4 linked regions of the Saccharomyces cerevisiae S288C genome follow. Changing the gene in region 1 together with any one later gene gives a genetic interaction. Each region holds a gene or a part of one and is shown in the gene's direction. Other genes may lie near its edges.

Region 1 (9,214 bases):
ATGTAGATGCATCCACACACTATTTTCAGCATAGTGTGGCTTTTCATCTGCTTTATGTAATTTAGAAAGCCAATGACAGCAGCAAGGGAAACAAAAATCTTTTAAATCAAATTAATTGTTTAAATAATATACTATGTAAGCATCGATTCTCCTAACTATTATAACCAAAGGTTGATTTGAAGCCATTGGCATTGTATTAGAATTGATTTGTTTCTTCAGTGTAAAAAAGTTAAAAATAAGCGACCCCAGTGAGGGTTGAACTCACGATCTTGCGATTAACAGTCGCACGCCTTAACCAACTTGGCCATGGAGTCTAATTGCTATATTTTTCTTTTGAAAACAAGATATATAAATAATGCTTGAGCTGGAGCATTTACGTTGTAAATGTATAATTAGTGTAAGAAACCGCTGGGCCCTATTTGTTGATGAAGTATTTACTTAAATGTAACAGAATATACTGGAAGTCCCCCCTCGGGCACATGGAAATTCACTAAAAGGAATTGGTAATGCATATGATATTACTACCGTTTCTCATTTCACTTTATATGCTTTCAGTGATTGTGTTACTACGTGACAGTTCTTACAATTCAGCGCCGTTACTCTCTATGAGTGCTCTCATTATTTATATCATATTCTTACACTTCATACAATTATATATACTCGTACCATGGATATTAGAGGATAGTTGGTTTTTGTTTAAACTAATTCTATGTAACCTCGATGGCATGAGTCCATAATACTGTACTGGCGTATGCCCTTGTTTGTGGTCTTTGTGCAACCATTTCAGGCTTTCTTATTTGCACAGGGCAGTTGCGACCCTGATAAAAAAAAATGGCTGATCAATCGGCGTGGACAAAAAAAAACATCGATTTCTATATTCATGGTAATCTGTCGAATTCTCCAACCAAGTTAGCTGGACTTTATTGTCTTATATCCGATTACTATCGCGATTTATTCTTGTGCGTAGCCGCAATTATAAAGGTCCGGAATATCTCTCCGACTATTGTCATCGTCGAATTTCTTCTGGAAGGGACGGCAGTAACAAGAAACACCTGAGGAACTGCTCTTTCAAATGACGACGACCAAGAGGTTGAAGTTTGAGAATCTGAGAATCCAATTCTCCAATGCCATAGTAGGAAACTTTTTAAGGTTACCGCATTCAATTATAAACGTGTTAGAGTCAACCAACTACGCTATCCAGGAATTCGGTATAGCAGTCCATTCTCATAATTCAGATATACCTATTGTTCATCTTGGATGGGATGGCCATGATTCTGGATCGAGTGAGAATGTTGTTCTTATCAATCCTGTTTTGGCCACAGTATATGATTTAAATCAAAAGTCTCCATTGGTGGACTTATACATCCAGCGATATGACCACACACACCTGGCTACGGAGGTGTATGTCACGCCAGAAACGAGTGATGATTGGGAAATTATCGATGCCAATGCGATGAGGTTCCAAAATGGTGAGATTTTGCACCAAACCCGTATAGTTACCCCAGGTGAGACTTTGATTTGTTATTTGGAAGGAATTGTTACAAAGTTCAAAATTGACAGGGTGGAGCCATCAATGAAGTCTGCGAGGATCACAGATGGTTCCTTGGTTGTTGTGGCACCAAAAGTCAATAAAACACGTTTGGTGAAGGCTGAGTATGGTCATAGTAATAAGACAATACTAAAAAATGGGGCTATCCAACTTTTAAAGAAGGTAATATTGAGGAGTACTGTGTGCAAAATGGACTTCCCTAAAGATAACCTTTTTGTCGTATATATCAGTGACGGGGCACAATTGCCTTCTCAGAAGGGCTACGCTTCTATCGTAAAATGTAGCTTAAGGCAGTCCAAGAAAAGCGATTCAGATAATAAATCAGTTGGTATCCCTTCGAAGAAGATTGGGGTTTTTATAAAATGTGATAGTCAGATACCCGAAAATCACATTGCATTAAGCTCTCATCTTTGGGATGCATTCTTTACGCACCCAATGAACGGAGCAAAAATCAAACTAGAGTTTCTACAAATGAATCAAGCAAATATAATATCCGGAAGAAATGCAACAGTCAATATCAAATATTTTGGCAAGGACGTTCCTACCAAGAGTGGGGATCAGTATTCTAAGTTGTTGGGCGGGAGCTTATTGACCAATAACTTAATACTTCCAACAGAGCAAATTATAATCGAAATAAAAAAAGGTGAATCCGAGCAGCAGTTGTGTAATTTGAATGAAATTTCCAATGAATCCGTTCAATGGAAAGTAACCCAAATGGGTAAAGAAGAAGTTAAAGATATTATCGAAAGGCATTTGCCTAAACATTACCACGTCAAAGAAACTGGCGAAGTTTCGCGCACTAGTAAAGATGAAGATGATTTCATTACGGTAAATAGTATCAAGAAAGAAATGGTCAATTATTTGACATCGCCTATTATTGCCACACCAGCTATTATATTAGATGGTAAGCAAGGGATCGGTAAAACAAGGTTATTAAAAGAGCTTATAAATGAAGTGGAAAAAGATCATCACATCTTCGTTAAATATGCGGATTGTGAAACATTGCACGAGACATCAAATTTAGATAAAACCCAAAAATTAATTATGGAATGGTGTTCTTTTTGTTATTGGTATGGTCCTTCTTTGATTGTGTTGGATAACGTTGAGGCTCTATTTGGAAAACCTCAAGCCAATGACGGAGATCCTTCTAATAATGGCCAATGGGATAATGCAAGCAAACTTTTGAATTTTTTCATCAATCAGGTGACAAAGATATTTAACAAGGATAATAAACGAATCAGAGTTTTATTTTCAGGCAAGCAGAAAACTCAAATTAATCCGCTATTGTTTGATAAGCATTTTGTTTCAGAGACGTGGTCTTTGAGAGCACCTGACAAACATGCAAGAGCGAAGTTACTGGAGTATTTTTTCTCGAAAAACCAGATCATGAAACTAAATCGAGATTTGCAATTCAGTGATTTGTCGTTGGAGACAGAAGGATTTTCGCCACTAGATTTGGAAATATTCACAGAAAAGATTTTCTACGACTTGCAGTTGGAAAGAGATTGTGATAATGTTGTAACAAGGGAACTTTTTTCGAAGTCGCTTAGTGCGTTTACACCATCTGCGTTGCGTGGAGTAAAGCTAACAAAAGAAACGAACATCAAATGGGGGGATATTGGTGCTTTAGCAAATGCCAAAGATGTCCTTCTAGAAACCTTAGAGTGGCCCACAAAATATGAGCCTATTTTCGTTAATTGTCCCCTAAGATTGAGATCAGGAATCTTGCTTTACGGTTATCCTGGTTGTGGTAAAACGCTTCTGGCGAGCGCCGTGGCACAACAATGTGGGTTAAACTTTATCTCCGTTAAGGGACCAGAGATTTTAAACAAGTTTATAGGTGCCAGCGAACAAAACATAAGAGAATTGTTTGAAAGGGCACAGTCCGTCAAACCCTGTATTCTATTTTTTGACGAGTTCGATTCTATTGCGCCAAAGAGAGGGCATGACTCCACTGGTGTCACAGACCGTGTAGTCAATCAATTATTGACCCAAATGGATGGTGCCGAGGGCCTTGATGGTGTATATATACTAGCAGCTACAAGTAGACCTGATTTGATTGATAGCGCATTGTTAAGACCGGGAAGATTAGACAAAAGTGTGATCTGTAATATACCGACTGAATCAGAGAGGTTAGATATCTTGCAAGCTATCGTCAATTCAAAAGACAAGGATACGGGACAAAAAAAATTTGCATTGGAGAAAAATGCAGACTTGAAGTTGATCGCTGAAAAGACAGCTGGTTTTTCGGGTGCTGATTTACAGGGGCTCTGCTACAATGCTTATTTGAAATCTGTACATAGGTGGCTGTCTGCTGCAGACCAATCGGAAGTGGTACCCGGCAATGATAATATAGAATACTTCAGTATCAATGAGCACGGGCGTAGAGAAGAAAATAGACTACGGCTAAAGACTCTATTGCAGCAAGATGTGGTGCACGAGACAAAGACAAGCACTTCAGCTGCTTCTGAGCTGACAGCTGTGGTCACAATAAACGATTTATTGGAAGCCTGTCAAGAGACAAAACCTAGTATTTCAACAAGTGAGTTGGTCAAATTAAGGGGGATTTACGATAGGTTCCAGAAGGATAGGAACGGTGAGATGCCCAATGGTGAGAATTCCATCGACATTGGTAGCCGACTCTCCCTTATGTGAAAAGGAAGAAGAAAAGAACAAAGCGCGTTTCCCTTTAAAGGGCAAAAAATGCGGCGCACGTTGCTTATTACGTGACATGACCCTATTGTATTGTGCGAGCACGCAGGACGGGAAAAATATTGGTGAAATTACATAACGCATTTTTTTTCCCTTGTGGTGAAAAGGAAAAACCCGAGAAATATGCCAGTAACAGTGGAGACCGGTCAAGATGTATTGAACGAAATCCGAAGTTGCATATATAACATAAATGCCTGCTACCTTTTGATACTTAATTCTTCTTAGCACCTATACGCTTTTTTTTTCATTTTTCCTTATCTTTTCTTTTTCTCGCAGAAGTCTATACAAAGAAGAAATATATATATATCTATTTCTTTTTTTTTTCAACCGTATACCACCGGCAACAAACCTCCATGTATTCATAGGCCCTGCATTACATCAAGAAATATTAGCATAAACGTATAGACCATTTTAACGCCACAGGCAAGCATACGCATTAAATCGCACCACCAACCAATGACAGTCTCACACAATCATTCTACGAAGATATCCCAACAACCAATCTCCTCGGTATCAGCATTTAAGTTCTTCGGAAAGAAGCTGTTAAGTTCAAGCCATGGGAACAAGTTGAAGAAAAAGGCGTCTCTACCTCCAGACTTCCACTCTACAAGTACTAATGACAGCGAATCCTCCAGCCCAAAACTGCCGAATTCGTTGAAAACCTCTCGCCGTGCAAACTCTTTCGCTCACACAACCAACAGCAAGAGATCTTTATCTTCCGCCTCAACCAAGATCCTACCTCCGGCCGGCTCCAGCACGTCCATCTCAAGAGGAAACAGACATTCGTCCACTTCGCGTAATCTCTCAAACTCCAAGTTCAGTAGCGAACGATTAGTGTACAATCCATACGGCGTCTCAACCCCAAGCACGTCACTCTCGTCCGTCTCTACCTCCATGAAGAAAGACCCTGATCTGGGCTTCTACCTTCACGATGGGGATTCCAAAATCCGCATGCTGCCGATCCCAATTGTGGACCCAAACGAGTATCTGCCCGACGAGATGAAGGAGGCAAGCATCCAGTTGAGCGATAACTTCGTCTTTGATGATGAGAATAAGACCATCGGATGGGGCGGTTCGTGCGAAGTGCGCAAGATCCGCTCCAAGTACCGCAAGAAGGACGTATTTGCTCTAAAGAAGCTCAATATGATCTATAATGAAACGCCCGAGAAATTCTACAAGCGCTGCTCAAAGGAGTTTATCATCGCAAAGCAGCTAAGTCATCATGTTCACATCACAAATACTTTCCTTCTAGTCAAGGTGCCCACCACCGTCTACACCACTCGCGGGTGGGGGTTCGTCATGGAGCTAGGTCTACGAGATTTGTTCGCGATGATACAAAAATCGGGCTGGCGCAGCGTGGCCCTAGCAGAAAAGTTTTGTATATTCAAACAGGTGGCGTGTGGTGTCAAGTTTTGCCACGATCAGGGCATCGCCCACCGTGATTTGAAACCGGAAAATGTACTGCTATCCCCGGACGGCGTGTGCAAGCTGACAGATTTTGGTATCTCAGACTGGTACCACACGGATCCACACGACCTGTCCAGCCCTGTCAAGAAGTGCGCAGGGATGATCGGCTCGCCGCCGTATGCTCCCCCGGAGGTCATGTTCTACGACTCCAAGAAGCACTACGATACGGAATTGCAACAGCCGTATGACCCACGCGCTCTAGACTGTTATGGCCTGGGTATTATCCTCATGACCCTCGTCAACAACGTCATTCCATTTTTGGAATCCTGCAGCTTCGACACTGGTTTCCGCGATTACTGTGACGCTTATGAAAACTTTATCCGTCTTCACGATCGCGCATTCCGCAATCGCGGCAATTACCGCCCGGGGCCGGGAATGGAGTATCACTTGGCTAGAAATTTCAAGAACGGACATGCATCTCGCGTGGCATGGCGGCTCGCTGACCCAGAAGCCGCCACCCGCTACACCATCGACGACCTCTTCGAAGACCCATGGTTCCAAGGAATTGAGACTTGTGTTGATGCCAACGACAAATATGTGTGTAAGAAACCTATTATCAAAACCACTACGTACGAGAATCCGCGGGGTTTCCATATCGCTACAGATGTTGCTGCAACCACACCCACCTCAAACCCATTCCTTAAGAACCGAGTCCCCATCAGGTCAATGGTAGATATAGCCGCCCATCCTTCCCCAACGGCCACGGTTTTAGCGTCGTCGCCTCCGCCGCCTCCTCCGGCGACTCATGTGCCAGCCGAGGCCTTATTTACACTTAGGGAAACCCCGCCGCCCCAGCTAGCAACCCTCACGCTTAGCGAAGAACCTCCCGCAACTCCCGCACCTTCCGCACCTTCCGCACCTTCCGCTCGCGTCCGTGGCCACTCCCCGCACAGGGTAGTGCATCACCATCTGAACATTGTCAACAGCTTGGTCCATAGTTCTAGCGCGGCGTCTTCTCAAGTTCCGGCTTCGACCTAGCCAGAATGTGCAGCAGAGTAAATAATATTCACTTCCCTGTTCCTAAAGCGTACAATATACAACTCCAACTTCATATCAACTACCAGAAACAGTAACATACGTAATAGTTATTTTCTATATTTTTATTTTTTTTTTGCCACTGACCAGTCTTCGCGGCGGTGTGAGTTTCCGTCTGTACGCAGCATTTAGCAGAGATTTGCCAATGCCAAGAAACTCCGCTAAACTAACATCGCGATGCAATGGGCTTGGTATTCCGTGGAAGAAAATGAAAACCGGCGCAAAGAATCCTCCGAGAAAATTTGATGCGGTGCACGGATTTCAGCACGGGTTTCAGCACGGATTTTATTTCTTTGCACCCCGCAAATTTCTGGGCGATGATAAACATACCGCATCTAAAACCGTATACAGACTACGGCACAGAAGCCAAGACTAACAAAAAAAAAAAAAAAAAAAAAAAAGAAAAAAGAAAAATGTCACGTGTTATTCCTTGTGCCCTCTGACCTACGTAGTTACTTGCGTGGCTTCAAATTTGATATCAGCTCTCGAGACGTCCTGATCTCTATACCTTATTGCTTGCTTTAGGTTGAGGCAATAAAGAAATAATTACATCTTTGGTTCTTTCCCCCTTTTTATATATCTGCAACAATATTAAACAATTAAATTAAAGAAGCACGTTTCCGTTTTTTATCATATACCATTCCCCTAACCGCCGAACTCACCGCATCACAACGTCACTATTCCTTCACACAAATAAACTAATTAGTTATGCTTCAGCGAATATCATCTAAACTTCACAGGCGGTTCTTATCTGGCCTGCTGCGTGTCAAGCACTACCCATTAAGGCGCATTCTCCTTCCACTGATTCTACTGCAGATCATCATTATAACGTTTATCTGGTCAAATTCACCGCAGCGTAACGGACTTGGGCGGGACGCTGATTACCTTCTACCAAATTACAACGAACTTGACAGTGATGATGATTCCTGGTATAGCATCCTGACTTCGTCTTTCAAAAACGATCGCAAGATCCAGTTCGCTAAGACATTATACGAAAATTTAAAATTCGGCACCAACCCTAAATGGGTCAATGAATATACTCTGCAAAATGACCTGCTCTCGGTCAAAATGGGCCCTCGAAAGGGCAGTAAGCTCGAATCCGTGGATGAGTTGAAGTTTTACGACTTCGACCCTCGTCTCACGTGGTCCGTTGTGCTGAACCATTTGCAAAATAATGACGCAGATCAGCCAGAAAAGTTACCCTTTTCATGGTACGACTGGACAACCTTCCACGAGCTGAATAAGCTGATTTCCATAGATAAAACTGTTCTGCCCTGCAATTTTCTTTTCCAGTCCGCTTTCGACAAAGAGTCTTTAGAGGCCATTGAGACAGAGCTCGGCGAACCTTTGTTCCTATACGAAAGACCAAAGTACGCGCAGAAACTGTGGTACAAGGCCGCTAGAAACCAGGACAGAATCAAAGACTCAAAGGAACTAAAAAAGCATTGTTCCAAGCTATTCACTCCAGACGGGCATGGCTCTCCTAAGGGTTTAAGATTTAATACGCAATTTCAAATAAAGGAGCTGTATGATAAAGTTAGACCCGAAGTTTACCAATTGCAGGCAAGAAACTACATTTTGACTACACAGTCGCATCCACTATCCATTTCCATCATCGAATCAGATAATTCCACGTATCAAGTCCCCTTGCAAACTGAAAAATCAAAAAACTTGGTGCAATCCGGCCTGTTGCAGGAATATATTAATGATAACATTAATTCTACGAACAAGAGAAAGAAAAATAAACAGGACGTAGAATTCAACCATAACAGGCTTTTCCAGGAATTCGTCAATAACGACCAAGTTAACTCCCTATACAAACTGGAAATTGAAGAAACTGATAAATTCACTTTTGATAAAGATTTGGTTTATTTATCCCCTTCGGATTTCAAGTTCGATGCCTCCAAAAAAATTGAAGAGTTAGAGGAACAGAAGAAACTCTATCCGGACAAATTTTCCGCTCATAATGAGAATTATCTGAACAGTTTGAAGAATTCCGTAAAGACAAGCCCTGCATTGCAAAGAAAGTTCTTCTATGAGGCTGGTGCCGTGAAGCAATATAAAGGTATGGGGTTCCATCGTGACAAGAGGTTCTTCAATGTTGATACATTAATCAATGATAAACAAGAATACCAGGCTAGATTGAACTCAATGATCAGAACATTCCAAAAGTTTACTAAAGCCAACGGCATCATATCTTGGTTGTCTCACGGAACGCTGTACGGCTATCTTTACAATGGAATGGCTTTCCCTTGGGATAACGATTTCGACTTGCAAATGCCCATTAAGCATTTACAATTGCTCAGTCAATACTTCAACCAATCTCTTATATTGGAAGACCCAAGACAGGGTAATGGACGTTATTTCCTAGACGTCAGCGACTCCTTGACAGTAAGAATTAACGGTAACGGTAAAAACAATATCGATGCAAGATTCATTGACGTCGACACC
Region 2 (7,882 bases), on another chromosome or scaffold:
AAAAATGACGTTCTCGTCATTGTCATCTTCCATGTCTACGCCTTTTCGTGTCCATTTCATTCTATTGATTAACTTATTAGACATCGGAGGGAAGTTTTTCCACCTATGTTATATATGTAAATTTTTTTTTGAAGGAGGCGCGCATAAAATAATCTCACACTATTTTGAACATTGCTTAGGGTTGAGTGGGGAGTAAAGAATAAAGCGAATCCTATTCGTGTAAGCCGGTCTACTTATTGATAACAATATTTTACAGGCGGCTATCATGTTTCAGCTTACGCATTCACAGTCAGGTTGGTGCTCTACATGAATACCAGCGTTTACTTTCATTTACAGAGTACTAGCACCTCCACTGTCGCTAATACTGAATTTAGTTTTGAAGAGTGAAAACAACTAAATCAGGCGGTAGAAGAAAATCAATAGCTCATATATTCTTATATATTACAGGTGATATTTGTATATGATTATGAATGGCTTTTCGTAGCCCGTGATCTTTCATTTCTATATTATGTGTAGCTAAAAGGGCCCCTTAAGTACTTGCAGATTGAAAAACTCTATATTGCATTCAAGTTTTCACGAAATACAAAGAAAAGGTCTCGTAGTTATTGCCTTAATAAAGGAATTACTTTTGCTGTAGTCGTATTGAAGCAAGCTTATTTGAAAATTGCGAATAATCACCTCTCATGACGGAACAAAGAACCAAATATGCAGATAGCATATTGACTACTAAGAGTCCTTACGAGGCTACCGAAACTATTAGAATCAGGTTATCGCAGGTCAAATTGTTGAATAAAGACTTTTACCTGTTATTTAAGGAATTGGCAAATCTGAAGAGGAACTATGCTCAGCAATTGAGAAAAATAATAGCTGAAAATGAAGATATAACAAAGATCTTAAACGCTCAAATGATTGAAAGTAATGTTTTGACTCCGCAGGAAATGAGTGCATTCAGATTCAACTCGCTGGGAGAGCTAAGAAATGTATGGGATACTGTAATTGAAGAACTAAAATCAGATTTGAAGTCAAGTACAGAATACTACAACACTTTGGACCAGCAAGTCGTTCGTGAATTGAAGGAATCCGTGGAGAACAATACTAGCTGGAGAGAAAGCAAGGACTTACATTCCAAGCTTAGTAAAAATGCAGCTTCAATTGAGCACTATAGTAAGAATAACGAAAACTCTAGTCACTTAGAAGAGGCAAGAAGGCAATGGGACCAGCAAAGCCCCTATTTGTTTGAGCTGTTCGAGACTATTGACTATAACCGTTTGGACACTTTAAAAAACTGTATGCTTAGATTTCAAACCAGTTTTAGCGATTATTTACTAAATACTACCAAAGAATGCGAAACGGTGATGACGAAATTCCTGGCATTCGAACCGCAAAGTGAAATTGATCGTTTTGCCAAAGATGCCAGTCAATACAACTTCCAACTATCCTCTTCTTCCAAAGAAGTAGTTCCTAATAATGCTTCGCCAGCTTCTGCCACTGGTGCCCGCCCGGTCTCTGTATCCAATGGTGCCGCTAATACGGAAAGAGAAAAGAAATCCCCACAAAAGGATAAGCGTAAGAGTGCATTTGGAAACATTGGACATCGTCTTGCCTCTGCATCTTCCAGTCTCACTCATAATGATCTCATGAATAACGAATTTTCAGACTCTACTAATAATTCTTCCTTGAAATCAAAAAAGTCGTCCCACACCCTAAGATCTAAAGTGGGCTCAATTTTCGGTAGAAATAAGACCAAGAACAAGAGACAACAACAATCATCATCAAACTCTCATATTCAGGCATCCATCACTGAGACTCCGAATAATTCTTCCACCAGAGTGTCTTCAACTGCAACTTCTTCTATTTATCAGAAGCAACGTCGACCCACCTATTCATCATCAAAATCAAACAATTGGACCCCGGGTGAAGCTAGTGACACTCCTCCTCTTCCTCCCCATGCTACTCCTAAAAACGTAGATGCACCTGTTACTGCCGATACACCACCTGCGCAAACTTTTACTCCTTCTGAAGTGCCTCCTTCAACGCCACAACAAAGTTCTCCACCCACTGCGAAAGAACCAGACTCAAGTAACTTACCCAAGACAGTACCGATATCAATTTCTCAACCTCCACTTCAGCCACAATCAAAAACAAAACCATTACCAGTTGAGCCTGCCTCTCCCAGTATTTCACTTCCTACTGCTACGGTTGATAACCAACCTTCAGGTCAAGTTGATTCAAGGCCCTTGCATATCCGCGCACCTGCTTTACCACCCTCAAGGAAACAAAATTTCATTCATAACAGGGATTCTCAACTCTATGACTCTTTGCCTAATCACGGCTCAGGCGCTACCCCTACTTCTTCTTCCTTGTCCTCTATTCCCCAGGAACGTCCAGTTTCCACACTCTCCTCTCAGATTACTGGCGAGCTAAGAGAACTAAATCCTCAAGCCACGGGCTCTTCAACATCTTTAGTTGGTCAATCGTTGTTTCAGCACTCCTCTTTAGATACATCTCAATTTGGGTTGAATGCTAGTATCGCAGAAGTGCTCAATGCTTCTTTCAAAGACGGTATGTTGCAGAACTCCCAACTGATTGGGGAAATTGCCCTCAACTATTTACCCAATTCTGTCATGAATTCGCCTTTACCTATCGGTATTAATTTGAGAATCAATAATGGCGCTAAGTTCGAAAAGGTCATTCTGAACCAAGCCTTTATTGAGCGTGTTGCTCCAGAAGAATTCAAAGTTAACCCTTCATTTATCGATTCTAGAACCTTAGGAGCTATTAAATATTCCATAAAGGAGCCGATCGCGCCTATTGTTATTCATCCGGTCTGGAGATTTGAATCTCACCAGGCAAGTGTTGTATTGACTGTCAAGATGTCACCAAGCTTACCCGATGAAATATCACAAATCGTAATAGAAGACCTCGTTGTCTTTGTGAATATCGATGGTGCTAATGCAACAAGCGCTTTATCAAAACCTCAGGGCTCCTTCAGTAAAGAAAAGAAGAGAATAACGTGGAGATTTAAAGAACCAGTTGTTTTGACAAGAAATGGTGAAGGTCAAAGATTAATCGCCAGATTTATTACAGACGGCCTGGCACATGAATCCGCTAAAGGCGTGATTACCAAATTCACTATCAGTGAGACGGATAACGTGGCTCTACCCCATAGCGGAGCCGGCAGTGGAATCACCTTGACTTGTCAGGAGCTGGATGAAAACAATCCATTTGGTGGTGAGTGGCTCGATGTAAACACAAAAAGAACTTTGACCACTGGTAACTACCATGGTCTCGCTTGATATTTCTGCTATGCTTCTATTTTTCAATATTAATTGTTCTTTTGTTTGCTAATCCATAATTTATGGAGGTGGCGCCGCTAAATCATATTTTCCTTTTGAAACCTTTGTTTAAGACTTACGTAGAACTACACTTATGTACTATAATGTTCTGTAAAGATTCTGTATTTTCGTTCTTTTCTATTCCATTTTTCGGACTTTTAGGACTTTTCATCTAATACTTATTATTTGTGGAGGAGTGCTTAAAAGGCGTTTGCGCCCAGACGAAAAAAAAAAAGCTAACACAGTAGTTGAGAAAGACAAATACCACGAATTTGATAACAAGTCATTTGCTAATTGTGTGTCCTTGACAAATACAAAACAAACAAAAATCCACTAATCCATTGTAATGTTTTTACGTACTCAAGCTCGTTTCTTCCATGCTACTACCAAGAAGATGGACTTCTCGAAAATGTCCATCGTCGGCCGCATTGGCTCTGAATTCACTGAACATACTTCTGCTAATAACAATCGTTATTTGAAATATAGTATCGCTTCGCAACCAAGAAGAGATGGCCAAACCAATTGGTATAATATCACCGTTTTCAATGAACCTCAAATCAATTTTTTGACAGAATATGTTAGAAAAGGGTATGTTATTTATTCTTCAATTTTACTTACTTTACAATTACGCGTTATAATTTACTAACATTTCCTTTCCATAATTTATTCAGCGCTTTGGTATATGTTGAAGCAGATGCTGCTAACTATGTCTTCGAGAGAGACGACGGTTCTAAGGGTACTACTTTGAGCTTAGTTCAAAAGGACATTAATTTATTGAAGAATGGGAAGAAATTAGAAGATGCTGAGGGCCAAGAAAATGCTGCTTCTTCAGAATAATTGTAATATTTACGCTTGCTTATTTCGACTCTTCCTCGATATTTTTTATCTAGAGCATGCTTTCTTTTACTTAAAATATTTATGGCAAATAGGAAAAATACATTTGGAATAACGAACTAGTTATGTAAAACTATGCTTATTCTCAAATAGAATGTATATATACTATAATATATTGGTTAACGTGTGTTATGCAAAATGCTTTTTGATGATGAAATTTAGCAAAAGAGGAGGAAGCTTTAGCGAATTTAACATATCCTTCATTGTTACAAAATTGCCTACACCTCCATTGATCCATGCAGTCCGATTATTGTAGATTTTGAGTAGTCGATCTTGAAAGGCATTTTTGACGAATTACAAGAACTCAGCATCGATCAAATCTTCTACATGCGTATATTGTAAAGGAAGACATCGGCTCTTAAGAGAAATGAGGCGGACCTGTAATTCTGATATAAAAGTATTCCGATTTATTCAAGATTGAGAAGCTGTTTTCAGAATTTTTGATTGGAGAGAGCCTGGGCCTAAGTCATGATGAAGGAATCGAAATCTATCACTCAACATGAGGTTGAGAGAGAATCTGTTTCTTCCAAGCGTGCCATTAAAAAGAGATTACTTCTGTTTAAAATAGACTTGTTTGTGCTATCATTTGTTTGCTTGCAATACTGGATTAATTATGTCGACCGTGTCGGTTTCACCAATGCATATATATCCGGTATGAAGGAAGATCTTAAGATGGTCGGAAACGATTTGACCGTGTCTAACACAGTTTTCATGATTGGTTACATTGTAGGTATGGTCCCCAATAATTTAATGTTATTGTGTGTTCCGCCCAGGATATGGCTAAGTTTTTGTACGTTTGCTTGGGGTTTATTGACCTTGGGAATGTACAAAGTTACATCGTTCAAACATATTTGCGCAATTAGATTCTTTCAAGCCTTATTTGAGAGTTGCACATTTTCAGGAACACATTTTGTTTTGGGTTCGTGGTATAAAGAAGACGAATTGCCCATTAGAAGTGCTATTTTTACAGGTAGCGGTTTGGTGGGATCTATGTTCAGTGGATTTATGCAAACAAGTATCTTTACTCATTTGAATGGGCGGAATGGCTTGGCGGGTTGGAGATGGTTATTCATTATTGATTTTTGTATCACATTACCCATTGCAATTTATGGGTTTATTTTCTTCCCCGGCCTTCCTGATCAAACAAGTGCTGTTAGCAAATTTTCTATGACGAGATACATTTTTAATGAACAAGAGCTACATTATGCTAGGAGAAGGCTCCCCGCTAGGGACGAAAGCACCCGGTTAGACTGGTCGACTATTCCTAGAGTCTTAAAAAGGTGGCACTGGTGGATGTTCTCTCTTGTTTGGGTTCTGGGAGGTGAGAACTTGGGTTTCGCATCTAATTCTACATTTGCATTATGGTTACAAAACCAAAAATATACGTTGGCGCAAAGAAATAATTATCCTTCGGGGATATTTGCCGTAGGTATAGTTTCTACGCTTTGTTCTGCTGTATATATGAGTAAGATCCCAAGAGCTAGGCATTGGCATGTTTCTGTTTTCATATCATTGGTAATGGTTATTGTTGCGGTACTAATACGTGCAGACCCACTAAATCCAAAAGTCGTCTTTTCTGCACAGTATCTTGGAGGCGTAGCATACGCTGGACAAGCGGTTTTTTTTTCGTGGGCAAACATTATTTGTCATGCAGATCTTCAAGAACGTGCTATCGTTCTTGCTTCCATGAATATGTTTTCAGGGGCCGTTAACGCATGGTGGTCTATATTATTCTTTGCTTCAGATATGGTGCCCAAGTTTGAGAGAGGTTGCTACGCCCTCTTGGCTACGGCAATATCAAGCGGAATTGTCTCGGTCGTCATACGCTCACTACAGATAAAAGAGAATTTGTCTAAGAAACAGGTTCCTTATATAGATGCTAATGACATGCCCGGAGAAGATGACGATGACGACAACCAGGATAATGAAAATGATGGCGACGACGAGAGTATGGAAGTTGAACTTCATAATGAGGAAATGGCCGAAATTTCAAATCCTTTCCGATAGATACATTCGATTCTTTTAGCTATTCATTGGTCCTGTTGATGGTAATGGAAAATCTCAGGGCTCTTTTCAAAAGTATCATGAACAATAGCCGCTAAGACACTTCTAAAGAGGTCTACTTAGTTTTTCATCATGCATTTTTCGATTTCTGTTTAACTAATCTTTCTTTTCTTCCTTGCCAAGTGCAGGACAATTTCTAAGTCTATGTTTTTAAAAGCTTCTTGCTAACTTATTCGAAAAGGTTTAGTAAGTATTTTGTTCTCTGCTATGCGTTCACGCACTCTGCTATTTTCTACTTCTTGGTAGAAGTTAAAGTAAGTCAACTAATTACGACACCATGTCTGATGCATTTTAGAAACTTCAAATTTCAAGATTATTGTGACACGAAAAATTGGTTATTTTATGAAACAATGTAAGGAAAGCATTAGAATCTCAGGCAATAGAAGAGACCAAGAAGGAGCGAGAACTTTTTTTTTCACTGACAGAGCTTTACCAATCCACAGACAATTGCCAGGCCATGAAAAGATCTGTTCCAATTTTTCCTTTATCTATCCTCTCAGAAGATTGTGAACTTGAGTGACCTGAGCAGGTGACTTAGGTGGAGGAGCAAGATAAAGCTAGCTCCGGTCGGAATTTTGCCTATACTTTTTTTTTCTCTTAGCTCGATTTATTTACCTTTATTTAACTTCTGCAGTTGGACAACGATAAATATAACTTGTACTTCTATTATGGGAGCTATCTTCTTAGCGTTTTAATATTTCTCTTAAATATGACACAAGTTGGTTTACCGTGCTGTGATTATTGCATGCTCTTTCGGTGTTAACGTTCAAGCAGCGTCAGTGAGAACTAAAATCATCCAATTTTGGTTAGAAATTGAGGACGAGATGACCTGACGCAGTTCTTCATTGGGAGATCAGTCGCGCGAGAAAGAGTCCAGAGACAAAGGAATTTAATATGGCTACAGCAAGATGTTCTGAAGGATGATCGTGATCTGTTCAGGTGAGAAATCGGTGAATGTTGTGATTATCGTTGGGTCCACTGTTTTTTAAAGGGTATAATATTTCGTATATACTAGACGTTCTACTCGAGGACATAGGAATCCTTAAAATGGAATCGGTATTTCTACATAATAATACTCCTACCTTCTGTTTCTTATGTTTCATTATCTTATTACATTATCAATCCCTGCATTTCGCTTCCATTAGGTTTGATGACTGTATCTCAATCTTTATGTCATCTTCTTACACCTCATGTGATAAAATGCTAGTAGCATGAATACTTCTGAATGGATGGTATTTTAGAGTTTTATTCCAACACTAATATTATAACCTTTACCGAGAATAGTGAGAAATGTGTGGGTAATTAGATAATTGTTGGGATTCCATTGTTGATAAAGGCTATAATATTAGGTATACAGAATATACTAGAAGTTCTCCTCGAGGATATAGGAATCCTCAAAATGGAATCTATATTTCTACATACTAATATTACGATTATTCCTCATTCCGTTTTATATGTTTATATTCATTGATCCTATTACATTATCAATCCTTGCGTTTCAGCTTCCTCTAACATCGATGACAGCTTCTCATAACTTATGTCATCATCTTAACACCGTATATGATAATATATTGATAATATAACTATTA
Region 3 (7,991 bases), 540 kb from region 1:
ATTGAAGCCAATGCTTCAAATCTTCTATTCAAATGCACAAGCTTTTCTGCTCTTGAATGCAAGATCGTCTTGAACACAACGAAAGAGGCAATGGAACCTGTTACAGATCCCAAAGCTAGCGTAACCCATCCCTCAAAACTGACACCATAGATCAACCCAGTAGTGGTGGATAATAAGGAGTAGCCAATCATAGGAGGAAATGCGACAAAGAATATCAGAACCATTAATATAAAATGTGTTGACATCTTTTCTCTCAAATCGTTCGAAGTAACAACAACTTTATGTAAAATCGCATTATGGAAGACGAGCAACAATATACCCATTATCATTAGCATTATGCCGAGGAGGACAATGATAATCTGTTGCCATAAGCGTAGTGAATAAAAATAAAACTGTAATTTTTGAACATTCTTCCTGATATTATGCATCAATCTCTCTCTAGGGGACATATTATAAATGTCTAAAAAATCATCATCATTAACATTTACTTCGTCATTGAATGACAATCCAGCATTAGTACCAACCCTTTGTCCATTATTACTATTTGGCATGATATCGTTGTCAAAGTCTTCGAAATAGCCATCAAATTCATCATCCTCCCCTTGGCCCATATTGGCATTTCCTGCTTCGTAAGACTGACTCATTTGTGTAACCAATATCTTTCTTCCACCATAATAATATTTTCAAATATGTTGAAGGTATTGTTTTAGTAAAGTGGCTTTTTTTCTTAGTGCAGCTCGAGAGAAAACAATGATTTCGATTTCCGCTTTGAAAATGATATGAATGAGAAAGGCCATTCGAATAAATACATAGATGAAAAAGAATATCTAGAGGATATATAAGCAAGCCCGTGTTTTCTTATTGAGTAAAACTGGTGGTGCTTTTGTGCTGCGTTGAAGAAGAAGGCCTCGATCGAAACGGTGAGCTCTTTGTAGCTTGAGAAGGGGGTCTTCCATCAATGCTATGACGCCTGAAATTGCCCGCTAAATCACTATGAATCATTGCGTCTGAATCGAAGTTACTTATCAGTCTCAATGTAGGATGGTCTTCTTTATCCGAATCTGTGTATAATATGTTGCTACTGCTGACCCATTTTTTGTTCATATGCCTCAAGTATCTACTCTTTCGGCCAAAATGCAATTTCTTGTCTACCATGGCAGGTGTTTCAATGCTGGCAGAATGTGGGATAAGTTCATGGCTTTCCGGGTCATAGGTCTTGGCATCCATAGGAAACATTAGCCGGCCCATACTTGTTTTTTTCTGCAGAATTGGCGGTGGGTGTCCATTGATTTTGCTGGATTGCCTCAACATCCTTGATGTGGGAGAAGCAACTGAAAATGAAAAGGATTTGGCTGGTCGCCTTGAAGTTGAAATAGTATCTGATTTCCTTCTTTGGTGACGCGGATTGAGAGAAGCGGACGTAATGGAATACCGCGGTCTAAACCCGGAAGGTGACCGCCCATATGTGCTTGCATTCTCACGTAACAATAGCAAAGAGTTTGTCGATTCTGATTCTAATAAGTTGTCATCTAAAACATTGGAAATATGATTGTCACCCTTGGTTGGAGTCCTAGTTAGCAATGTTGAATTTTCTGGGTTTTTGGACTCATCTGACGTTTGCTCTGGAGCTTTAATTAATCCAATGACTGAATCAGCAAATTGGAAGGGGGTTTTTAAAGAGGAGGTGACAATCATCCTACCTTTGATATAAGAAATCGCCTTATCCAGAGCAAATTCCTGGCCACAGTGATTTTGAATAATGGAAACCTTGGGCCACGTAGCTTTTGCACCATTGGTGATTTCCCTTAATAAAAATTCTTTTGTTGGGTTTGACAACAGCTCCTTTATTCTAAAAAGCATACACATGTCGGGCAAAATAGTGATGTCACCAGAATATTGTTGAGATAATACCGATCTCAGTTTTGTAAGCGCGTTTTTGGCAATTCCCATCTCACTTCCAATTTCTAGAATATGAATAGCTTCATTGGCCATAAAATTGTATATACTTGATAAGTTTTGCTTTAATCTTGCACTAAATTCGTCCTCAATTTCCCCGCCAACACAGGATAGTGATAGTTTCAAAAAGGGAAATACGTGAATATTCACCTGGCATGCGATAATATGGTCTACATTAAACATTTCAGAAAGACGAGAAATGGGCAAGTCATTGTCCACAGAACCATCGACAAATTTGACCGAACTACTACCAGTCCATGGTTTCCTTTCTCCCGTTTTTGGATCTTTTTCGTAAAGTGGGCTCGAGGGGAAAATTCCCGGTAGTGAACATGATGCACATACGGCGGACCAAATCAGGACGTTTGGTGCAGTCAAATTATTCAGCAAGCGCGGTTGTTCAAATAAAGATGCCGGCGAAACGGTTATATTCAAAATTTTACCCGTTCTATTGTAAGCTTCCCTAAATGTCAAATCTCCCAAAAATTCTATCATTGTATTTACCAGATGCTTGTTATCAAACCACGTACCGTTTTTGAAGAACCTAGATATTTTTATTAACAAATTCTCGCTTTCACTTTTCTGTTTATCGTCTTTGAAAATGTTGAATTCTTTATCCAAAATATGATTTAGTAAAACCGGAATTTCTTCTTTGTGATGGACAGATAATATGCTTGCTACAATTGCACCAGCACTGCTACCACTAATCACTCTGGGTAATAAATCCAATTCAAATAGAGTACCAAGGACACCGATGTGGAAAAGACCAAAAGTTCCACCCCCACTGAGAACTAAAGCGGTACGACCAATATTTCTTCTCGTTTGTTGCAGTATACCCAAAAGGTAACTATCATCAAGATCAGACTCCATTAAAGATTCTAGCGCTAACCTAGACTCCATCATATACTCGTCAATTAAATATTTGGTGCCTACATGGGAGTGCCTATATAGGTTTACATTCCCCATATTTCCCAGGTTTCGTACCCAATTCGTCCTAATGATGTACAACAATTGAGCGTAATTCCTATTCAAGCGCTCCTCACGCATTCTAGATGTTAAATCTTTTATTAGCTTGTAATCATACAAGGGACTTTCCAATTTCTGCTTCCATTCTGTTTTCCCAGTGAGGTCATCCAATCTGGCGCCCGCAGAACACCATTCTTCAAATGACATCGCATGTTGCTTTTGTGAACAGACTTTGTCAATAAGAATGTCTCTTTCATAGTTTCCCACAAAAACGTTGTAAAGAAATGATTTGCATTTACTGGCTAAAGATGACCCTTGCCTTTCATCTTCGCCTTCGTCTGTCTCAACCATCTCGATATCATTATTTTCATTTTCTGTTACTGTCTCTTGGTCATCGTCAAGTTTATCCTCGTTTCCAGTATCCAGGTTGAAATTTACTTTGTTCGTAGTTTTGTTCTTGCCAGTTTGCAGTCTTTTACCAGCATCCTCCTCCACCCTTTCAACATCTGAATTATCCTTACTGGGCCTAATAAACTTGTTCTTCGGATTTAAAATAGGAATTATGTTCTGGGAAGTGCCCAGGATCTGTTCGTAATATTTTTCGATTAGTTGTTGCGTAACAAGGAGGGGCTTATTTTGTGTAGATGTAAGATCTGATATTTTGCTGCTCATTCAGACTTTTATTACATATACCTGTACTCCCTTCAATAATTATTACAGCGCTAATTTTTTTGATCAAATACTTGAATACAGGCCTCTTTTACGAGTACAATAATGACATAATGACAATTTGAATCAACCATACTTTATAATTGTGGTTTAGCGTTTCATAGTCGCAATTATCGTATAAGAGGGGTAATATGTCAGCCCTAGTTTACCCTACTTTTTTTAAACCCCTTAAGATCTTTTTTCCTTTTTTCTAATATTTAACCTACTAATATTGGTAAGTAAACCTAATGACTTTTTGAAGCGCCTAGCCCTATTTCTTTCGAAATTTTCAATTCGCGTCCTTTTTCAATTCCATGAATAATAGGAAACATGAAAAAATAAGTAAATAATAATAATAGAAAAGCTGGAGTGTTGCAAATTTAAGAGGTAGCCTTAAAATATATTTCTGCTGTGTTGAATATTTAATTTATACAGCTAGAATAGGATATTATAGCCGAATTTTTTTCAAGCTTCTTCAAAGCTTATAGTGAATAACGTAAGGGGAAAAACAAGAATAAATTTAGCAAAAGAAACGCTCAAGTCAATGTATAACTCAATCTACGGGTCCCCCTTCCCTAAAATAAATCCGAAGGTCCGCTACAAAACTGCTCTAGAAAGAGCAGGGTTTGACACTAAGCCGCGTAATCCGTTCAGTAGTCAGAGGAATGCTTCCACTGGAAGTTTACAAGCTTCCGTGAAGTCGCCGCCAATAACCCGTCAAAGAAATGTATCTGCCGCCCCATCTGTTCCGGTCACGATGAAGAGTGCGTATACGGCGTCTTCAAAGAGTGCTTATTCATCTGTAAAGGGCGAGTCTGACATTTATCCGCCTCCCGTATTGGAGAATAGCGAGAGGCGGAGTGTAACTCCTCCAAAGAATAGCAATTTTACGTCTTCGAGACCCAGTGACATATCTCGTTCTATTTCCAGGCCCAGCGAGCGTGCTTCGCAAGAGGATCCCTTCCGTTTTGAACGCGACTTAGACCGTCAGGCGGAACAATATGCTGCCTCTAGGCATACATGTAAATCACCTGCTAACAAGGAATTCCAAGCCGCAGATAACTTCCCCTTCAACTTCGAACAAGAAGATGCTGGTAATACTGAAAGGGAACAAGATTTGAGCCCTATTGAAAGAAGTTTCATGATGCTGACTCAAAATGACACTGCAAGCGTTGTAAATTCTATGAACCAAACCGATAACAGAGGTGTGCTCGACCAAAAACTCGGAAAAGAACAGCAAAAAGAGGAAAGTTCAATCGAATATGAAAGTGAAGGACAGCAGGAGGATGAGAATGATATTGAAAGCCTAAATTTTGAACCAGATCCTAAACTACAGATGAATCTTGAAAATGAACCACTTCAAGATGATTTTCCAGAAGCAAAACAAGAGGAAAAGAATACAGAACCTAAAATTCCGGAAATTAATGTTACGAGGGAAAGTAATACACCATCTTTAACCATGAACGCACTAGACTCTAAAATATATCCTGATGATAACTTTTCTGGCCTGGAATCTTCAAAGGAACAGAAATCACCTGGTGTGTCATCATCGTCAACAAAAGTTGAAGATTTAAGTCTTGATGGGTTAAATGAGAAACGTCTTTCAATAACTTCTTCAGAAAACGTGGAAACACCATACACTGCTACGAACCTCCAAGTCGAACAATTGATTGCTCAATTAGACGATGTTTCCCTATCTAGAAATGCAAAGCTCGATATGAACGGCAATTGCCTCAACGCAGTGGACAGAAAGGCTTCTAGATTCAAAAAGTCAAGCGCATATTTATCTGGGTATCCCAGCATGGATATACCCGTAACGCAGCAAACATCAATTGTGCAAAACAGCAATACGAACTTATCCAGACAAACTATTCTGGTAGATAAAGGCGATGTCGATGAAGACGCGCCATCTGAATCTACAACTAATGGTGGCACACCCATTTTTTACAAGTTTAAACAGTCGAACGTAGAATACTCCAATAATGAAGGGATGGGTTCGCAAGAAACTTTCAGAACGAAACTTCCCACAATTGAAGCACTACAACTGCAGCATAAGCGCAACATAACAGATCTGAGAGAAGAAATTGATAATTCCAAATCTAATGACTCTCATGTATTACCTAACGGCGGCACTACGAGATACAGCTCTGATGCAGATTATAAAGAAACGGAGCCCATTGAGTTTAAATATCCGCCTGGGGAGGGACCTTGCAGAGCATGCGGCTTGGAAGTCACAGGGAAAAGAATGTTTTCCAAAAAGGAAAACGAACTGTCGGGTCAATGGCATCGTGAATGTTTTAAATGCATTGAATGTGGTATCAAATTCAATAAACATGTTCCCTGTTATATTCTAGGCGATGAACCATATTGTCAAAAGCACTATCACGAGGAGAATCACAGTATTTGTAAGGTTTGTTCAAATTTCATAGAGGGTGAATGTCTGGAAAATGATAAGGTGGAACGATTCCACGTGGATTGTCTAAACTGTTTCTTATGCAAGACTGCCATTACTAATGATTATTATATATTCAATGGGGAAATTCCATTGTGCGGTAATCACGACATGGAAGCTCTCTTGAAGGAAGGTATCGACAATGCTACATCAAGCAATGATAAGAACAATACTCTCTCTAAAAGGAGAACGAGGCTCATCAACTTCAACTAGCATCACTACCCATTTGTCTTTCCTAGCACACATGTTTCATAACATTCTTAATAAGATTTTGATTTTTTATATTATTAGCCAGCCTTGTTCATTTATAAATTGTATAGCGCAGGAAAAAGGCATCTGCCTATCTATGGTATCAACAACATTAGTCGTCATTAGTTAGTTAGTTATAAAGACATCATTCACTCATATTCACTACGTTGTCTTCTTCTCAACAACTACCTCTAACTGTTTTTTTACGCGTCATTTAATTGTAGCGAATTTCTATTTTTGGACATTCTCGTACCGGTGCATTAAAGGCTAAAAGCTAAAAAGGGAACAGGAGCCTAAGAATAGAGAATAAGGAAATTTATTTAAGGAAAGGCTAAGCAATGAAATGTTTCGTTATTTTATTGTATTTTCAAGAGGATGGAAGAAGAACCTGAGCACAAACGGATAAATAATAGACGAATATAATGTTTCTTAAGACACCTAATTGGGAAACGGTAAATGAGACTCCCAAATCGAGAGTCTTAACGATAAACGAATTGATCTCTCCCAACCTGGATACTGAATCTAACAGCCTTCTGGCGACGCCGGCAAGGAAATATTTCAAAACTTCAATAAGTGAAGCGCAAGATTCTCCTACATCTGCCCCTTCGCCCGATGGCAATGAGGATCCCACATATCAATACAACGTACAATTTCATTTTCCAGGACCAATAACACCTACAACACCCAGGTCTAAGAATGCAGAAATGTTTCCATCCCCCACGCCCCCATTGGTTTCTCCCACAGCGGTTATCGAGGAAGAGAATGACGATTCCGTACGGGAGTTTTCACGCACGCTAAAATCAAGACTCAACTGCGCAATGGTTAAGCTATCAAAGGAACATGAGCAAGTAGCTTTGATTCCTCCACCTCCGACGGAAAAGATACGAAAGGGCTCTTATAGTAATAAATTTGCCGCTAAGCATAGGCGCTGTCACTCGTTAGATGAATCCAAAAAGTTTCTGAGTTCTCTGGAAGATTCATCCGCTCATGCAGCGTTCTTGAAGGCAATTTCGTCCAAACATGCCAAAAGCAATAGGGTAGACAACGTTAACGTTTCGCCGTTACGTTGGTCATCTCATAGAAGAACGCAAAGTACACAGGAGAATTCTTTACAAGAAGTTGTTGCTATCGATACATTATTGAAGATGTCCTCATCGGACTGAACTAATGATTCGGGTTTCGCATATATACATGGCTTTGGCTACTTTTAGGTTTATAGTTCTTGCTGTTTATATCACTAATATTTAGTATATAGCTGCGAAGAAAGAAAAAGAAAATATTCACCTCTAGGAGCCAAAAACATAAAAAAAAAAATAATTAAAAAAAACTTTTATTGAATGCTTAATTATTTAGTGACGCGATTACCTATATACCAGGTTATTTATTTTTTCTTTTTTCAAAGGAAAACAATACAAAATATTACTGTTACCATTTTTGTTACTATTATTATTGTCTTTATTACTATTATTTTTCTATCGTTGCTATAATTACAATTTGTTTACTCTACAACTTAAAAGGAGATTACTCCAGACAACGAGTTTTGTTTTATGTTTCCTATTCTTTTAATCTTGGAATTTGTATGAACCACTTTCTAATGTAATGGATCCACCTCTGTAAGAACCTCTCTTCATTTTATTTTTGTTCTTCGTGAAATCTTTACCTC
Region 4 (7,706 bases), on another chromosome or scaffold:
AGAGAAACATCGTCCAAATCGTCGCTCTCCTTCGATATAATGCTGATATACTCGTCTCTGAACGTGCCTCCTTTAGCTGACCATATGTTGACCTTCAAAGTTCGGCCACAGTGTTCATTGAAGATGGATGTGATACGACGGTAATCTGGGTACGAAAATCCGTGTTGATTACTGACCACCGGCACCGGATCATCATTGAAACCTACTATATAGTCGAAAAAGGACTGCAGTTGGAACTGCATCTCGTCCACCCAAACAATGCGGAGACCGGAAAGCGTTTCATTGACGTTGGTGTGCTTAACACCTTCAGAAACCGCATCTACGGGTGATTCCAACTGAGCAGACAACAAATTTGGTGGTATAGACTGAAAGAAAGCGTCCAGATTGCTCGAGTCCTGCGAGAGTGCCAGGGTATCTTGCACGCTCTGCTCAAAAGTCCGTACGAGGTTTTTAGCTATTCTAAACATAGTTCTTCTTCCTATACCTTTTTACTTCCCTAGTTTCGCACGCTGTGTCGGTCGCAGTTACAGTAGTAGTCTCAGCACCCCTGTTCTTGGTCCTGATCCCGTTGCGACAAGCCCATTTCTTTTATGATAGCCAAAATGCAACTAAACCTCGTCGTCGTCGGCTTGCGTGTCCGCCGCGAAGACAGAAAAATAACGAAACGAACTTAATAGAAACGACCTAGATTTTATTTGGAAGCCAGCCCGATGCTATCTTCAAAATGGCTGTCACTGGGTGCAAAGGCGGTGGGAGAGCCCATTAAGTAATTTAATCGGGTTGTCTCACCAATGTTAGCCACAACGCAACGCTACGTCGCCACTCTGGCAGCCACCGCAACGAGCAGTAGCAACTACTTTCGGGTGGGCCCTTCAGGGGTAGTTGCCTGCGTCTTTGTTCGAAGAATCAAGTGACAAAAAACGCGGGGCATCCAGAAAGTCTTTTTGTGTGTGTCGTCGAAAGGGAAAGTGAGAGAGTGAGAGTGAATTAGTGTTTGTGTGTGTGGAAGACAGAGGAAGAAGATCGGGTCGTCGAATTCTATTATGCTTGCGATGCAGGGGGGGGAAACATGTATTCGGGATTATATAAAGTCGATTCTGTGTAAGTGTAAAATCTCATCTTGTCTCGTGTTCTTTTGTACGTCTCATACTTATAGGAAGTTTAAATAGAAACAGATATCAGTGTATCAAGGAAGAATTGTACAAGAATCGAATCATAGATACACAGTAATGTCATTTGAAAATTTACATAAAGTCAATGCTGAGGCATTGGAAGATGCAGTGGTTGAGATCTGCTCCTCATTGCAGGTTGATGCAGCAAAGTTGGACGAACTAACAGCGTACTTCATTGAATGTATGGAAAAGGGGTTGAATAACACCTCTGTAGGCGAAGAAAAGACGGTGGACAAGGGTCTACCCATGATCCCTACATATGTAACCAGTTTGCCCAATGGGACGGAACGTGGTGTTTTGCTGGCTGCAGATTTAGGTGGGACTCACTTCAGAGTGTGTTCTGTGACTTTGAATGGTGACGGAACCTTTGATATGCAGCAATTGAAGTCTAAGATTCCGGAAGAATATCTAAATGACAAGGATGTCACCAGCGAGGAGCTGTTTAGCTACCTGGGTCGCCGTACAAGGGCCTTCGTTAGGAAGCATCATCCTGAGTTGTTGAAGTCCACGGGGGAGAACATAAAACCTTTGAAAATGGGATTTACCTTCTCATATCCCGTTGACCAAACCTCTTTGAGTTCCGGTACTTTAATCAGATGGACCAAAAGCTTCAAGATTGAAGACACGGTCGGCAAGGATGTCGTGAGGTTATACCAGGAGCAATTAGACATTCAGGGGCTCTCTATGATTAATGTGGTAGCTTTGACCAACGACACGGTTGGCACTTTCCTATCCCACTGCTACACTTCAGGCTCTCGTCCATCGAGTGCTGGTGAGATTAGCGAGCCTGTCATTGGTTGTATCTTTGGTACTGGTACTAACGGTTGCTATATGGAGGATATTGAAAACATCAAGAAGCTACCAGATGAGCTCAGAACAAGACTGCTGCATGAAGGAAAAACCCAAATGTGCATCAACATCGAATGGGGTTCTTTCGACAATGAATTGAAACATTTGTCTGCTACAAAGTATGACATCGATATTGACCAAAAATTTTCTCCAAATCCAGGTTACCATCTATTTGAAAAAAGAATTTCCGGCATGTACTTGGGTGAGCTGTTAAGGAACATCCTGGTGGACTTGCATGCAAGGGGCTTAATCTTGGGACAGTATCGTAATTACGATCAATTACCTCACCGTTTAAAGACTCCTTTCCAATTGTGCAGTGAAGTTCTTTCCAGGATTGAAATCGATGATTCGACAAACTTGCGTGAAACTGAATTGTCGTTTTTGCAGAGTTTGAGGCTACCGACCACTTTTGAAGAACGTAAAGCAATTCAAAATCTGGTCCGTTCCATTACGAGAAGGTCTGCATATCTAGCAGCCGTTCCGATTGCCGCCATCCTAATCAAGACAAACGCTTTGAACAAAAGATATCACGGTGAGGTAGAAATTGGTTTTGACGGTTATGTCATCGAATACTATCCTGGATTCAGATCCATGCTGAGACATGCTTTGGCATTAAGTCCAATTGGCACTGAGGGTGAACGTAAGATACATTTGCGTCTAGCCAAAGATGGGTCCGGTGTTGGCGCAGCTTTGTGTGCTCTGGTGGCATAAAACATATCTGTTCTTAACAGCTTATTTTTAGTTTGTTTTCGTTTTCCTCTATATAAATATCTTATGTATCTGTTATATAAAAAATTATTTAGTACGAATTGAAATGAAATGTTATGTTATATTTTTAGAGAGAATCTGCTATTACTTTATACATGTTAACTATATACATAATAAAAAAAAAAAAAAAAATATTGTCTAAAATTAATCATTTATTTGTAAGTTTTGTTCAAACTGCCTGCTAATTTCACCTTGGTCATAGCTCTGACTCTTTTTCCCATTTTCATTACTGGGAAAGAAGTTTGGATAGCCCATATAAGAATAATTGTCTAAATCGTTCGGTCCCAATAGTTTCTCAATGTTGTATTTTTCAGTTTCGTCATCATTTTCATCAAAATTACTTTCCATAGCGTATTCAGCCCAATTTTCGCGCCTAATAAAATAGTTTTCCAATGGATTGAAATCATCTGCCATGTTCTTCTGAGCACCTTCTATGCTTCCAAGGGCAATTTCCAAATGGTTTGTTTCTTTATGTTGTAAAACTTCTCTCATAGATGCCAAAATTAAATTTGGGTCTCCACCAAGAGATAAATTAACCATACGGTAAAATTTCCCTATCAAACTCATGGGGATAAATCCGTCATTGGCTTTTTTGAATTTAGATCTTAAAAATTCATCTGTTTTCAAGTTCTCTTCACTAAAATAGAATTCAATTTGGTTTTTGATACTTTCGATAGATTTAAAAATAGGTTCCATTGAGTAATAATATGGTGTTTGCAATTGTTGTTGATAGTTGATGTTATTATAATACTGCTGTTGACGGAAGTATGACAGTTGTTTATAGCTATTTCTTGAATTGTTGTTCAACCAGTGGCTGGCATTGGGAATATATTCAGGTCTAGCCTGATAATTATTTGGGAAGGAGATGGCATTATTAGCCGCCTGACTGTGTCTACTATTGTTGTTGTATCTTGTTTTGCCATTCCTGTTTTGATAATTTCTTGATTGTCTACCGTTGGTTGAATTGTTGTTGTTTGTTATCCTCTTTATATTCCCATTGGCAGTTGCTCCTGAGCTTGAATGTATGTTTACTTTAGCGTTAGCATCTAAAGGTTTGGATTCAAGATTGGAAACGTTACTTATTTCCGATGTACTGTTGGTTTGACCGTTAAAGTCCTTTTTATTGATATCGTTATTATATTTGCCACGCTTTTTCATTTTTTTATTAGTCTTAGAATTTTTAGAGTTCTTTCCTGACTTTGAATTTGTGTCCTTGGAACCTGAGATTATAACAGACGGCGTAATTGGAGTCCATTTGGTATTGCTTGTTAATTTAATTGACCCCGAACCATTTTTACTTGGCTTTGCAGTCTTTGATATATCTCTTAGTTCCTCTACAGGAATTACTGTATTGCTATCTGGCGAAGATGATTTCCATGGCGATGTGGTTGGTATTGGTGCCAACTTTAAGGATGAAGTTTGTTTCTTCTTATCTTCAGCTGCTGAGGATGTATTTTTTGGATTATCATTGAGGTTTTGCGATGACATTTTTGAATTCACTTTATGATTGATTTTCTTTATCTTGGTTATATTTTTGGGCTCTCTCGTTTATTTAACGCCACCCTAAATTGTGTCTTAACAATACGCTTCCTCTCAGTATTTTTTTTTAAATAAAAAAATATGATAGAACTGCTGAACACTACTTTTTAAAACCTTTTAATAAATAGACAAGTGTCAACCAAGGATGTGCCAATTTTCCTTTGTGATTCAGCTGCGCTTGTATGTGCTTCCAGCTTTACTTTTACTAATTTTTTCATAAGCACAAAATAGTAAGATCTTTTTTCTCTTGGCGGTGAAAAATTTTGATTCGATGGATCAATAACATACTGCAAAAAACGGTTTGAGGACATATGAATACTGCATTTACTAGTAATTTGCCTAGTATATAGTTTGACTACACAGATTATAAGCTATTGTATGAGTAGCTCCACAAAGTGCAAGAAAGCATACGAAGCGGTAGTCAAAATGGTTACGCATAGATTCAACTCCAAAGCAGTCCGCAATTACCATCAACCACAAGGTTTAAACAGGAGTCTGGCAACCCGCAATGCAGCTAGAGTTAGGGGTATGGTCCCTTCAAGAAGAGGGGGCGTGGGACTGTATAAGAGTTCAAGTAGCAAGTTGATGAATAAACTAGGAAGACAAAAGACATGGATAAATGAGTTTGAACATTTTAATTCTCTGCACGAAATTGCATATACCCCTAACATTGCGTTAAGTAGTGAAATCCAAAAATATTTAAAGGCATTGGAAACAAACTATCGGTCCATCTATGAGAAAAGTTCAGAATTACTGGATAAGAAGCTGGAAGAAATTGACAAGAAATGGATAGAGAAAAACGGGTGTATACCTGATGCATCTAAAGACGATGTGGAGAAAAATCTAAGAAAGCAATATTTAGCAGATGTACAGGACGTAAAAAACGAACATATACCTGTGATGAATTGTGAACCTGGTGGGTCTCAGTTCAAGTATCTCTGTAAAACTATTGAGTTATTATCATCCAACAAGACAATTTGTTTTGCCATCGATGTAGAGGCATTTGAATTTGATACAGACATTGTTACAGAGATTGGCATCGCCATATATGATCCAAGAGAAAACATTTATTCCTTGATGCCGATTATAAGAAGTTATCATTTAATTGTTGCTGAAGCGTTACCGTTAAGAAACAAGAAATTCGTATGCGACTTTAAAGACTGCTTTTTACTTGGAGAAAGTCTTGTATTACCATTGGAACAATGTGTAGAGTTCATTCAGTCGTTGATTAATTTCTATATGAAATGTGAGACGGACCAAGATACAACCTGGGAAAGAGCGTTTGTGGGTCATGCTATAGCGGGGGATATTAAGTGGCTGAAGAAAATTGGGGTCCATGTACCTGAATTGGATAATGAACTTACCAAACCGGAGGACTCAACGGAGAGCAAAGGTGTTAGAAAACATGTTAAGATGCTTGACACAGAGAAAATTTATAGCATGTGTTATGGCAAGAAGGGTAGCAGTTTAGGTAAACTACTAAGGCTTTTTCACTTGCCACATGCCTTCTTACATAACGCAGGCAATGATGCATATTACACGTTGCTCCTGATGCTGAAGTTAGGAGATTATAACTTTAGAAAGCAAATTGGGGCAGATGATTTAGAAACAATGGGATATAGGATAAGAGAATGGTTTAAGCGTGAGGCGGACGAACCCAAAATTTTGCCAATGTCGTACGTGCTAAGTGTGATGAATGCCAATAATAGCAAACCGAAAGTTGATGATAAGGGAAGAAAGAAGCCGAGGGATCTTGTACCTCAGACGGAATTTAGCGGGTCTCATTGGTTTCAAAATGCACGCGCAGCCTTCAAAAGTACTCTTGTGTGAATCTAGCTAGAAGTTTTGTAGGTATATGTGATTTAAGATATAGATAATAAAAGATATATATATGTAAATATTATGAAGGGGATATTAGCGTAATTTAAACTATTGAAATACCGGCTTCAATATTTCAGCTAACTTGCCATTTTTCTTCAAAGTTTCCAAATCGCTGTTACCACCAATGTGCTTGCCATTGATGTATACGTTAGGTACAGTTTTTTGGCCCGAGATTTCTTCTAAAGCGTCTTGAATCTCTGAGCCATTGCTCATTTCATCTAATTCCAACACAAGGGCCTTGGATTTGGGAACGTTCAATTCTTGGAAGAGGGTAGACAAAGTAGCTTTACAGTAAGGGCAGTATGTCTTTGCTGCAACAAACACTTCCTTTTGGCCAATCAGATCCTTTACGTGAGCAACTGTTTCCTGGGATACCATTTTTGGAGTAGATAAAAATCTTTTAGCAATAATTCTTGTGGCAAACAACGTGATAATGATAATAACAATTAAATTCGAGTCGAAGGAAAAATTGGTCTCCATGAAACAATATATAACAGTAGTTGGAGTGTCCGTTAATCAAGAGGGCACCTTTTCTTGGCGTCCTGGGACTTTTTATATGAAAATTCATGAAGAAAGTGCGGCGGGCCCCTTTGCGAAGGGGGCCGAAATATCGGATCTTAGTAATAGTTCTGCTATTGGATGTGGTATTAGCATAAATCAAGAGGGAGGCGATGGTTCTATTAGGGTAAAAGAGAGCAGCTTGAGGAAGAAACAGGAAAGGATGAGTACAAAATATCCGACAACGATGAGTTGCCGAGAGGCATTTGATCAACTGACGAGTTGCTATTCGATTGGAGGGCAATTTAGAAGCTATTACAGATATGGAGATTTTACATCATGTGACAAGCAGGTGTCCAAATTCAAGTTTTGTATTATCCACGGCAATGACCCTGTGAAAGTGCAGGAATGGTATAAAGATCAGGTTTCCAACAATAAGGCATTGGAAAATACCAGTGGGGTTATATGGCAGGAGAGGGAGACCACTGCAAATAAGTGAGATTTTTAGCTTTTTTTTTTTAGCATGTGTACTATATAGTATATGGATTTCTTATTTACAAGCGCAATAAAAAGACGAACACTAATCCTTGTTGTTCCGCTTCACGTCCTTACTTGATTCTATTTCATTGTCTTGGTGAAGTTTCTGTGTTTCCTTCATCAATTCATACAGTTGAACTGTTTGCTCAGGGGATAGTTTCTCCAGGGTTTCCGAAGATAAAGTGGCATCTTTCCATTTACCGTTGGAAATCATGTGGAGATAATCTTGCCAGGAAGCTAAAAAGCCGACTATATGCAACGGGTTATCGATATCTTTGTGCAACTTGAACTCGTTTCGCACGTATTGGTCACCCATCTCCCTTTGGGGACCAGGTAGCAGCTTATGCTGCCTTAGTATCCTTCTGTAGAGAACCAAAGGTGGAAGTAAAAGCTGGCTGTTATGGGTTGCAAATCTAACCGAACGATATATGAGCTTGTTGTTCATGGTGAATGAAGACGGGA

The links.
Region 2: mutations in PTK1 (region 1) and RIM1 together harm fitness more than expected from each alone (negative genetic interaction), as found in Saccharomyces cerevisiae (2 studies listed by BioGRID).
Region 3: mutations in PTK1 (region 1) and SRL3 together harm fitness more than expected from each alone (negative genetic interaction), as found in Saccharomyces cerevisiae (2 studies listed by BioGRID).
Region 4: mutations in PTK1 (region 1) and EMI1 together harm fitness more than expected from each alone (negative genetic interaction), as found in Saccharomyces cerevisiae (2 studies listed by BioGRID).

Annotation. Positions count from the first base shown.
Region 1 is NC_001143.9:65,724-74,937, reverse strand, and holds PTK1 (putative serine/threonine protein kinase PTK1), read left to right. Parts: upstream 1-4,717; coding exon 4,718-6,706; downstream 6,707-9,214. Other genes in the region: palmitoyltransferase YKT6, read left to right, coding at 1-6; PEX1 (AAA family ATPase peroxin 1), read left to right, coding at 1,073-4,204; MNN4 (Mnn4p), read left to right, coding at 7,472-9,214. UniProt on the Saccharomyces cerevisiae protein: Essential determinant for low-affinity spermidine transport.
Region 2 is NC_001135.5:169,240-177,121, reverse strand, and holds RIM1 (Rim1p), read left to right. Parts: upstream 1-3,681; coding exon 3,682-3,923; intron 3,924-4,006; coding exon 4,007-4,172; downstream 4,173-7,882. Other genes in the region: SYP1 (Syp1p), read left to right, coding at 684-3,296; FEN2 (Fen2p), read left to right, coding at 4,698-6,236. UniProt on the Saccharomyces cerevisiae protein: This protein binds preferentially and cooperatively to single-stranded DNA (ssDNS). Involved in mitochondrial DNA replication. Stimulates PIF1 helicase activity.
Region 3 is NC_001143.9:604,775-612,765, forward strand, and holds SRL3 (DNA-binding protein SRL3), read left to right. Parts: upstream 1-6,750; coding exon 6,751-7,491; downstream 7,492-7,991. Other genes in the region: TVP38 (Tvp38p), read right to left, coding at 1-644; TGL4 (triacylglycerol lipase), read right to left, coding at 859-3,591; PXL1 (Pxl1p), read left to right, coding at 4,172-6,292; SRP40 (Srp40p), read right to left, coding at 7,891-7,991. UniProt on the Saccharomyces cerevisiae protein: Weakly suppresses a RAD53 null mutation when overexpressed.
Region 4 is NC_001136.10:1,470,000-1,477,705, reverse strand, and holds EMI1 (Emi1p), read left to right. Parts: upstream 1-6,642; coding exon 6,643-7,206; downstream 7,207-7,706. Other genes in the region: GRH1 (Grh1p), read right to left, coding at 1-467; EMI2 (putative glucokinase), read left to right, coding at 1,230-2,732; SLF1 (Slf1p), read right to left, coding at 2,934-4,277; YDR514C (uncharacterized protein), read left to right, coding at 4,707-6,158; dithiol glutaredoxin GRX2, read right to left, coding at 6,258-6,689; SDH7 (Sdh7p), read right to left, coding at 7,288-7,689. UniProt on the Saccharomyces cerevisiae protein: Involved in sporulation. Required for the full activation of the early meiotic inducer IME1.